3 linked regions of the Canis lupus familiaris genome follow. The protein of the gene in region 3 binds, or shares a complex with, the protein of the main gene of each other region. Links are inferred from orthologs where the notes say so. Each region holds a gene or a part of one and is shown on either strand. Other genes may lie near its edges. The genes, in order: POLR2B, GTF2H5 and GTF2A1.

Evidence for each region.
Region 1: GTF2A1 (region 3) and POLR2B share a complex: the UniProt entries of both Homo sapiens proteins name them as parts of the TBP-based Pol II pre-initiation complex. The link is inferred for Canis lupus familiaris from reciprocal best matches to the Homo sapiens genes GTF2A1 and POLR2B.
Region 2: GTF2A1 (region 3) and GTF2H5 share a complex: the UniProt entries of both Homo sapiens proteins name them as parts of the TBP-based Pol II pre-initiation complex. The link is inferred for Canis lupus familiaris from reciprocal best matches to the Homo sapiens genes GTF2A1 and GTF2H5.

What each region holds. Positions count from the first base shown.
Region 1 is NC_049234.1:49,890,669-49,894,320, forward strand, and holds part of POLR2B (DNA-directed RNA polymerase II subunit RPB2), read left to right. Parts: intron 1-636; coding exon 637-731; intron 732-2,332; coding exon 2,333-2,583; intron 2,584-2,668; coding exon 2,669-2,758; intron 2,759-2,997; coding exon 2,998-3,105; intron 3,106-3,652. UniProt on the Homo sapiens protein: Catalytic core component of RNA polymerase II (Pol II), a DNA-dependent RNA polymerase which synthesizes mRNA precursors and many functional non-coding RNAs using the four ribonucleoside triphosphates as substrates.
Region 2 is NC_049222.1:48,174,970-48,178,022, forward strand, and holds the end of GTF2H5 (general transcription factor IIH subunit 5), read left to right. Parts: intron 1-1,975; coding exon 1,976-2,156; 3' UTR 2,157-2,451; downstream 2,452-3,053. UniProt on the Homo sapiens protein: Component of the general transcription and DNA repair factor IIH (TFIIH) core complex, which is involved in general and transcription-coupled nucleotide excision repair (NER) of damaged DNA and, when complexed to CAK, in RNA transcription by RNA polymerase II.
Region 3 is NC_049229.1:53,872,838-53,876,589, forward strand, and holds the start of GTF2A1 (transcription initiation factor IIA subunit 1), read right to left. Parts: upstream 2,211-3,752; 5' UTR 2,005-2,210; coding exon 1,975-2,004; intron 665-1,974; exon of another isoform or gene 646-664; intron 1-645. UniProt on the Homo sapiens protein: TFIIA is a component of the transcription machinery of RNA polymerase II and plays an important role in transcriptional activation. TFIIA in a complex with TBP mediates transcriptional activity.

The sequences.
Region 1 (3,652 bases), on a different chromosome or scaffold from region 3:
TAATATTTTGAGGTCGCCACCCTCTACTCTTTTTTGGTAAGCAAATACATGTTTGCAATTATAATACAGAAATGTCTAAAGAAATAAACCTATTAATCTTAGGACCCACAAATAACTATTAAAATTATAGTATTTTTTCAGTCTTTATTATTCTTATGCTTTAGTTATTTTATTGACAATCCCAGATACTGGCATATGAAGATTGGTTAAAAACTAGAGATTGAGAAGATGGATTTTTTTTCTGCATAGTGTCAGGATAGAACTAGGACCAGAGAGTGGGCATGATACCTTAATATCATAAACTTCTCACCAGAGATATTGGAGCAGATCCTGAATGACCTTCTCTGGGGGTTATTAGGGAAGGGATTCTTCTTTTAGGTAGGAGGTTGCAGTTGTGACCTTAGGTCCTTCCTGTTCTCACATATAATCCAGCTGTGTTAAGATACAGATCAAATGCTACGTGTGTGGCGCATATAATACCATTTAAGACTTGACTTTGACTCTTGATACAGTTAACTCTTATTTTAGATTCATGGTTAAATTGTCTCCCAAATATCAAAGTAAAAATGATTGGTATATTCTAACCTCTATTATAAAAGGAAAATAGAAGTTACCTTTACAACCATGCATTTTTAGGTCTGTCTTCTATCGATCATATAAAGAACAGGAATCTAAGAAAGGATTTGATCAAGAAGAAGTTTTTGAGAAGCCAACTCGCGAAACATGCCAGGGTAAGTGATACTGACATTTAAAATAATGGAATTTAAAGTTAACTCACCATGTTTTTCCTAATTAGTACCTCCCCCTTGCCCCCCTCCACTATTTTTAGAGCTGATATATAAGAAAATATGTGTGTTTGCCAAAAGTCTTTACACATAGGAGTTGGCTTGTTAAGATCCTTCCATCCTGGTAGATCTGCATCGAAGAGGGTTTTATTTATTTATTATTTTTTTTTCTTATTTTTTTATTTTTTTATTTATTTATGATAGTCACACAGAGAGAGAGAGAGAGAGGCAGAGACACAGGCAGAGGGAGAAGCAGGCTCCATGCACCGGAGCCCGACGTGGGATTCGATCCCGGGTCTCCAGGATCGCGCCCTGGGCCAAAGGCAGGCACTAACCCGCTGCGCCACCCAGGGATCCCCCGAAGAGGGTTTTAGAACATCACAGAGGTCATATAATTTCATGGGATACAGTACTCCTGTACTGTGAACTTTTCACTCAATTTATGTATTTGCATGGGAACTCCCTTCCCTCTCCACATTGTAGTGTGTCCATAATATTTGTCTAGCCACCATATTTGTATACATTTAACAGATAAAGGGATACCTGGCACTTTTTTTTGTTTAGAAAACTCAAACTTATTGTCTAGTTACTATTTTCATAGACACTTAAAAACTATGTATGCAGTGGGATGGATGGGCTGTCCCAGGGAAATGTATGTATCTGCTACAGTTTTGACCTCTAATGGTATTGTGTGAAGTAAAATGTGTCTTGTTTTTTAAGTCATCTTTCTGTTATCCTATAGAAATAGAGCCATTGTGGGTGGTTCTATGTAGTAGTGAATTGATGTCCAGTGGAGTTAAGATTATGTAAGATGAAATTCAAAATTTCTTTGAGAGGATGTGTGTAGAGAGCATATTCTTTTTCTTTTCTTTCTTTTTTTTAAGATTATTTCAATGAGAGAGTGTGAGTGTAGGAGGGAGGGGCAGAAGAAGGAGAGAGAAAGCCAAGCAGACTCCCAGTGGCAGAGCAGGATGCAGGGCTTGATCTCACTACTCTGAGATCAGAACTGAGCTGAAACCAAGAGTCAGATGCTTAACCGACTGCACAACCCAGGCCCTCTGAGATCAGAAGATGGCAACACCCTTATCCAAAGTCATAGACATTTTGATTTTCCAGTGTTAGTCCAGTACTTTTTTAGAATTCAGAATAGTTTGTAGGATTTGGAGTAAGAGCATTGTATTATTATTACACATAGCTCATGGTGTTAAAGATTCCTATGAACTTCTCTCTGACTTGGAACTGATTCAGGATTTGGTTTTAATCTTTTGGGGGGATTATGTGACTTTTTTTTTTTTTTAAGATTTTATTTATTTATTAGAATGAGAGACCACAAGTTTGGGGGGGGGAGGGCAGGGAGAGGAGGAGAAGCAGATTCCCTACCATGCAGGGAGTCCATCATAGGGCTCAATCCCAGGACCCTGATGTCATGACCTGAGCCAAAGGCACTTAACCAGACTGAACCACCCGGGTGCCCCGGGTTATGTGACATTTTAAATACTTTATATAGTAGTACCATTTCAGAAAATTCTGTGTCTGTTTCCTCATAGGTATGAGGCATGCCATTTATGACAAGCTGGATGATGATGGTTTGATAGCTCCTGGAGTCCGTGTATCAGGAGATGATGTTATTATAGGCAAAACAGTCACCTTGCCTGAAAATGAAGATGAATTAGAGGGCACTAATAGGCGCTATACCAAGAGAGACTGTAGCACATTTCTTAGAACTAGTGAGACTGGCATTGTGGATCAGGTTATGGTAACTCTCAACCAGGAAGGATATAAATTTTGTAAAATAAGGGTGAGTATAGCTTTTTCATACTGCTTTTTATAAAAAGTAAACCAGTTTGACTTAAGTTAATTAACCTATTTTTGTATGAATTCAGGTCCGCTCTGTTAGAATTCCACAGATTGGAGACAAATTTGCTAGTCGACATGGTCAAAAGGGTACTTGTGGTATTCAGTACAGACAAGAGGTAGGTATCTCTTATTTCCCTCACCTTAACCCACAGTTTAACATTTTACAGAATCAAAATTTGCTTTAACTTAAAAGTGCAGAGATGATAGAGGCTTGACTTTTTAATTTTGAGTAAGTAAATGAATAGAGCATGTTGAACAGAATTGAGGACATAGGAAACTTCAGAAAGGGGAGGATCCATTTCAGTTTCATAGTTAAGAGAGTTACGTTTGTCTCCTTTAAAAAATTTCTTCCTAGGACATGCCTTTTACCTGTGAGGGTATCACCCCTGATATCATCATAAATCCCCATGCCATTCCCTCTCGCATGACTATTGGTCACTTGATTGAATGTCTTCAAGGGAAGGTAAGAAATATTCTTTAAAAATATATGTTCCAAACTGATGTTTCTTCCAAAATGATGATAGGTGATTCTCTCATATTTGAGTCAGGGTTCTTTTTTGGAAAAAAGATTGTATGATACTTACTTTCCTGCTTTTATTTATTCATACATTTTGTAAAGATTTATTTATTTATTCATGAAAGACACAGAGAGAGAGGCAGAGACATAGGCAGAGGGAGAAAGAAACAGGCTCCCCACAGGGAGCCTGTTGCGGGACTCAGTCCAGGATCCCAGGATCGTGCCCTGAGCCTAAAGCGGGCACTCAACTGCTGAGCCACCCAGGCGTCCCACTTTCCTGCTTTTAATTTTTTTTCTTTTTCCTGCTTTTAATTTGTAAGTTGGTTATGATTGTGTGTTTCTTCCCCCAGCAAAAATTTGTGAGGTTTTGGCTAAGTCAGAATTTTTATTAAATTTACTACATCCAATCTCTACATACATCTATTATTATCTTTTGACTGGTTCTTTTCTGTAGATGAGGGGTTAATTCATTGGTGGTTAGTTCAGTGTGAAC
Region 2 (3,053 bases), on a different chromosome or scaffold from region 3:
GGCTTATTTATTTATTCACATCATTTTATAGTGTAGTAAATTGTTTAAAAATCATTGTAATGATAAGTTACTGAAAATAATTAAAATCATCTTTTCAGAAAGACTTGACTTTATTAACAGTTAATATGCCATGAACCATACTCATTTACTGATTGAAATAAATCCTTTACCTTTGTTAGCTTCACTTATACCTAGTTTGTACTTGAAAGAAGTAAAACTTGTTTTTATGTTTTTAGGTAATTACACTGACCTCTTTTGAATTCAGTCATCTTTGTAATGGATGTTGTCATTCCTTAAGAAACCATAAGATTTTATGAAGTTACATTTTCTCTAAGATTTAAAAAAAACTGCAACTTGACATTTTTATATTCATCTTTTGCTAAACACATTATTGTACATTAGGTCTAAAGAGTGTTCTTTGTTGTGATTCAGGGTTTTTACAGCAGAGATATGTTTCTGTAAGGTCTATAAATTTGGGGTTTGTTTGGGTTTTTTTTAGGTTTATGTGCTTATTTGAGAGAGCAAGAGCATGTGCACATTCTCTGGGGGGAGGGGCAGAGGAAAAAGAGAGAATCCTTAAGCAGACTCTACACTGAGCACAAAGCCCAACACGGGGCTTGGTTCCAGGACCCTGAGATCATGACCTGACCTGAAATTAAGAGTTGGACACTTAACCAACTGACCCACCCAGGCATCCCATGTAAATCCTAGAATTTGGATCTCTCTTTTCCTTGTGACTTATTCTATTCATTCCAAACTAAAAATCACAAATAAATAGAATTTGTATCTGTTCTTTGAGCTCAGTATCCTGAAGAAGATTTTGGTAGGATTTCCTTTAAAGATTCTGAGTGAGGGGATCCTTGGGTGGCTCAGTGGTTTAGCACCTGCCTTCGGCCCAAGGCATGATCCTGGAGTCCCGGGATTGAGTCCTGCATCAGGCTCTCTGCATGGAGCCTGCTTCTCCCTCTACCTGTGTCTCTGCCTCTCTCTCTCTCTCTCTCTCTCTCTCTCTCATGAATAAATATTTTTTTTAAAAAAAGATTCTAAGTGAGTTCAAATTTAGGAAGTTCAGAATTTTAAGGAAGGAAGAAAAACTGAGAACCTACTGCAAGCCAAACACCGTCTTTGGAATTACTCTCTTTTAATTTAAAGGAGAATAACTTAATTATTCTCTTTTAATTAATAAACTGTTAATAACAGTTCTGTTATGTGGGCTCATTTTGAGGCTTTAGAGATTAAGTACATAGTAAGGTCACACAAGTGATAAAGCTGGGATTGAATTCAGATCTGACTTTTGCAGGATCCCTGGGTGGCGCAGCGGTTTGACGCCTGCCTTTGGCCCAGGGCGTGATCCTGGAGACCTGGGATTGAATCCCACGTCGGGTTCCCGGTGCATGGAGACTGCTTCTACCTCTGCCTGTGTCTCTGCCTCTCTCTCTCTCTCTCTGTGTGTGTGACTATCATAAATTTAAAAAAAAAAAAAAAAAAAAGATCTGACTTTTGCTGTACACCCTACTTTATCACAGTGACTGCTAAACTGGTTTTGTAAATTAAATTTTTCACTGGCAAGATAGTGAAAAATCTATTGTCTTCTTAAGTGTAATGGTCATGGGCAAGTAAGGAAATTCATTTTTTAAATCAGTTAAGGGAGCTGTGGTTTCTAGGCCCTATTAACTACAAACCTCTGAACATTATTTGTTCACTTGTCAGTGACAAATTACTCTTTTAAAATCTTCTCATTGGCCTCTTTCTCTAAAACTTAAAGGAACAGTTCTAAAATGAAGTCATGAAAAAAATAAAAAATAAAATGAAGTTATGTCTACAAATCATTAATGCTTGAGACAGAGGGAATGACGGATTGAGTTAACAGTTTAGAACTTTTTGAGTTATCCTAAAAATTCTGCATGCCCAATTCTAATTGCTTAGGTATAATTTGATAACACAATGTGTCATTATCATGTGTTTGTCTCTGCAGTGACCCTGCCATGAAGCAGTTTCTGCTGTACTTGGATGAATCAAATGCCTTAGGGAAGAAGTTCATCATTCAAGACATTGATGACACTCATGTCTTTGTTATAGCAGAGTTGGTTAATGTCCTCCAGGAGCGAGTAGGTGAATTAATGGACCAAAATGCTTTTTCTCTTACCCAGAAGTGAAAGTACTCAATATTGACCACTTAGGAATTACAAGTAGCAAATGTGAGAGACTGTCACTATTCAGTGTCCTACATGACAGATTAGACTTAGCTGCTTAGTCGCATATTATGGGAAAAACTGTGATGTCATTTGTTCAGAAAAAAGTCCTTGAAATGATTTTCTTGTTGTTTTTTCGGTACATGTACCCTAGAATTTAAAAAAAAAAAAAGAAAAAAAACTTTAATGATTGTCTGTAATTTGACTTTTACTATCCTACATTAAAATATAAATATAAATGGTTTTCCTACCTTTTTAATACCAATTTAATGCATTAAGAATTTAATGGAATATGCATTTTTCAGTTTAATCTAGGTGTTTGTTTGCTTGTTCCTGCTAATAATTATAGAATTTTATAATCTGGGTGGTGTTCTGTTCTAATTAGAAACTTCACATCAATTATTTAGGTAAGTATACCAAGGTGGGACCTTTGGTAATATTTATGTCTTTATAAATAATATCTGGATACTGGCCAGCTTTATTGATGAAGAAGGAAGGTAGGAAAGAGAACCATGGAACATTAATGTAAGCTACACTTTGCATTTCCCTAAAAATACAGTTTTAAAAGTACAGAGGGCTTGGGCTGCCTGGGCAGCTCATTTAAGCGTCCGACTCTTGTCTCAGGATCATGAGTTCAAGCCCCTTATTGGGCTCCACACTGGGCATGGAGCCTACTTAAAAAAAAAAAAAAAAAAAAAGAAGTGTGGAAGAAATAACCAAATGGTAAAGGGACATGGTGCCTTGCAAGCTTTAGCTTTTCCTTGTTCAAACTTTTTTAGTCACATTTTCCTTTCCCATCAGGGCAAGTGTTTTTTTGTTTAAAAAAAAAAAAATCAGTTTTAAAGAAAGGGAAGAAGGAGT
Region 3 (3,752 bases):
TCTTGAACGTTAATATCCAATGAAATCAAAAGACAACGTCAACTTCGAATTTTAATATTTTAAAAATCCAGTTTGCACTAAGCCTCCCCTCTCATTACTCACAATTTCCCTACATACAATAGATGCACTGTGGACATAAGGTCCACACGTTGAAGCTTTAGGCACTTTATCTTCAAAAAAGCTTTGTGTCTAACATTACAGAAAAACAATGGCATATAGGAGCTTTATTTCTAACACATTTTCTGAATACTCGATGGACGAAACACTATCAGAGTCATCAAGTACCCTGCAGCTCAGAGTTAATGTAGGAAGCGGTGTTTCTGTTGTCGTTTTCTTTAAATGCCCAACAATAACGCATTTCCCAATACAAAAATGACCACAGACCTCTGAGCTACAATCCTCTTTAAAAGCAAAGATAAAAATATAAGAAGGGACAGCAATTCTGCGTTCCCCCCCCCCCCGCCCCCTCAACAAAGGCAGGAAACCCTAGCTGCTGCGTCAAAACAAACAAACAAAAAAACTTGGGGACCCCCCCCCCCCTCCGAAAGCGGCCCCGTCGGGCGCGAAATCCCAGTGGCAGCTGAAGGACCTAGATATAAACCGGGCGCTCGGCTCGCTCCTGCCTCTCGCCTCGGGAGCACGCACCTCCCAGCCCCGCTCTCAGCAGCTCTCACTATTTAAAGCCGGATCTAGTGTTTAAATGGAGAGGCGGTGACGTAGGCCTGAAAAGCACCTTCCCATCCTGGCAGAGTCTATATTAGAGAGCGGCAATGGCTCTATATAAACAGGGCAGCCAAAGGGAGGAGGACCACAAGGCTCAGGGACTCAAAAGCAGGGTAAGCGGCCGCAGCCATGATGGATCGACCCGAGTCGCCAACGGTACGGAGTCGGGCGGCCGCGGGCTCGTCTGCGGCGTTTGGGACCGGGAAAAAAAACAAAACAAAAAAACAACAAAAAAACAAAAACAAAAACGTGTTTTTACGGTCAGAATAAAAATAAGAGTGGGGTGGACTAGTGATCGCATTGGCGTTGGTGACGGACAAGGTTGTTTTTATGTGACTGCTTTTTGCAAACCTACGTGATCGCAAGTAACCAAAAAGGGACAAACGGGGGGGGGGCGGGGGGGAGACGTAGGCAAATTTCAAGGCGAAAGCAGGGGCGCTGGGACCACTGTAGGCTTTTTTGTTTGTTTGTTTGTTTGTTTGTTTGCTTTGGTGCTTTTGCTAGTGGAAGATACGATGGGGGGGGGGGGTGTTGCTTCCCCTTCGCCATTTTACCGATTCGGAAGGAACCGAGATAAGTGCTTTTCAACCTTCGTCCTTTTCTTTCCTTTTTCCTTTTTTTTTTTTTTTTTAAGAAATATAAAATGGCCTCAGTGAAGGCTCCCCCTAATAAGCACAACCGCCAGAAACATCCCAAGTAACCCCCAAAGTAGCCGTTCGCCTTCCACTGCACTGAAGTGGGCCACACGGCGGGTCCTGGGGACTCGCCCGATTCCCCAGACGCGGGTTTTGTCTGTGGAGGCTGCTCGGGGCGCCCGTGTCGAGCCGGCGCGGCCGGGCCCCCGGGGGGGGCGCAGGGGGGGAAGCGGAGGCTTCACGCCCGCCCGCCCGCCCTCCCGGCGGCCGGGGTCTGCGGCCGGAGCCGCGCGCTCGCCCCGGCCCAACGGCCTGCGCGGCCCCGACCGCCCCGCGGCGGCCCCAGGCCCCGCCGGCGCCCCCGCCCTCCTCCCGCCGCCGCCGCCGCCGCCGCCGCCGCCGCCAGCCCGAGGCGCCCTCCCCCCGCCCCCCCCGCGCCCGCCGCCCCGGCCCGCTCCGCCCGAGGCGGGAAGCGGCGGCGGCGGCGGCGGCGGCGGCCGCGCGGGCGGCTGAGGAGAGTAGAGGCCGGGAGTCGCCGCCGTCCCCGCCCCCGCCCGGTCCGGCCGTTGCTGCCGCCCGGACGAAGCCCCCGCCGGCCACCAAACCACGTCCTTACCACGGTGTTTGTATTTGCCGAGTTCGCCATTTCCACACACAACACAAACAAGAGGGGGGGCAACCCCGAGAAAACAAGATTAAAAACAAAAAACCAAAAAGAAAAAAAAGAAAACCAAAACACCCGGAGGGTGGCCCAAGCCACCGCAAGATTGGGGGTAAAAATTTCAAACAAAATCGAATCCTGAAAGAGTAGAAGGGGAGCGGTGAGAGGAGGAGGAGGAGGAAGAGGAGGAGGGGGGCAGTCCTCCCCGAGCTAAAAACCTCGAGAATCGCCCTTAAAAAAAAAAAAAAAAAAAAAAAAAAAAAAAAAAAAAAGCCACGACCCTTCTGGGGTCCGGGGGGGCGTTGCCCGCTCCCCACCCCGCGCCAAGGAGGGAAACCACCACCGGTCGCCGCTCCCCGCGCCGCCGCTGCCGCCACCGGCTGCAGCTCCAGCCGTCCGGTCCGCCCGCTTCTCCCCTTTATATAGTGAGCCAACGAGCTGCGCGAGCCGCCGCCGCCGCCGCTGCCGCCGAGAGACAGGGCGGAGGGGGAGGGAGGGGCGGAAAGGGCGGGGGCAGAGGTGGGCGGGGCTGAGCGCGAGACACCGCGAGAGCCGCGTGCGCAGGCGCGCCGGGGCGGAGGCCGCCGTGGGCCGCGTCGTCACGCGCAGCGGAGGGTGCTGGGCTGGCGGAGCGCGGGGACTGGGGTAGTCGAGTCGTCCGGCCGGCTCCCCAAGTCTCGCGTGATCACCTGGTTGCCACCCAGGCGGAAGTGCCCCACAGCTGTTTTAGGCTGAGGGGCTTGCAAAGTATCGCTGGACATAGCATGAGTGGTGTTGACCCTCAAGTCCAAAGCTACCTGGCAGCCAACTCTTGTCAGGTGTTTCTGCGTCTCCCTGCGCTTGGAGAAGCGAGGAAATACAGAAGGGGCGCTGGCGGCTGCCTCGTTAGCAATGGCTGCGGAGGCGGACCGGTCACGTGGCCCCGCTTCCGGCCCCCGGAGCGCTCGGACTCCGGGCAGAGTTTAAATGCGGAGTCATCTCGGGGCGTGAGCTCGTCGTGGACTCGGCGCTCAGAGGCGTCGGTTCCTCTCGCGTCGCGAAGGCCGGGCCCTTCGCCGGCAAGATCGTGTACGTGTTCCTAAAGGGGGAGAGCTGCTTTGAGCCCGCTGCTAACACATTTCAGAATTAATGACCCCTGAACCGGCTGAGTCGTTTCCACCGGTACAGCTAAAAGGCCCTGGGCTTAAGTTTCCCCGAGGTTCGGCCCCTTACTAGCGTGCTAGTACTTCCGTGGTGGAAATGCCGAAAGGAAAAAAAGAAAAAAAAAAAAAAAACCGACCTGCATATCACCGGATTATGACAGCACGATAACGTCCCCCCTCGATTTTTAAAAACTGCCGAAATCCTGTGACCGCATGGCCCGCGCCTGGGACTGACAGGAAATACCTCGGTGGGGCCGCCCCGTCTCGCGGCCTCTCGCCGCCGGAGCGAGCAGAGGAAGCCCACGTGTCGGAGTGTGAACCAGGAGGCGCCGGACCTGCGCTGCTCCCGACTCCCGCCTTCGGGGCAGCGTGTCACGCAGAACGGGGAGTGCTCCGCTTCGAAGGCAGAGCTCGCCGCACCTAATTCTGCCCCTAGGAACTTGGAGAGACGTGGACTGTAGTCCGGGCAAGTGAAGGAGTGGATCCTCCTCGCAAAGCAAAACGAAATGTCAAAGTTCGTATGCCACCGAAAGTATATTTGGGGAAATAATCAAAGGCGATGTACGAGAGAGGAAAAGCTGCAACCTGCCA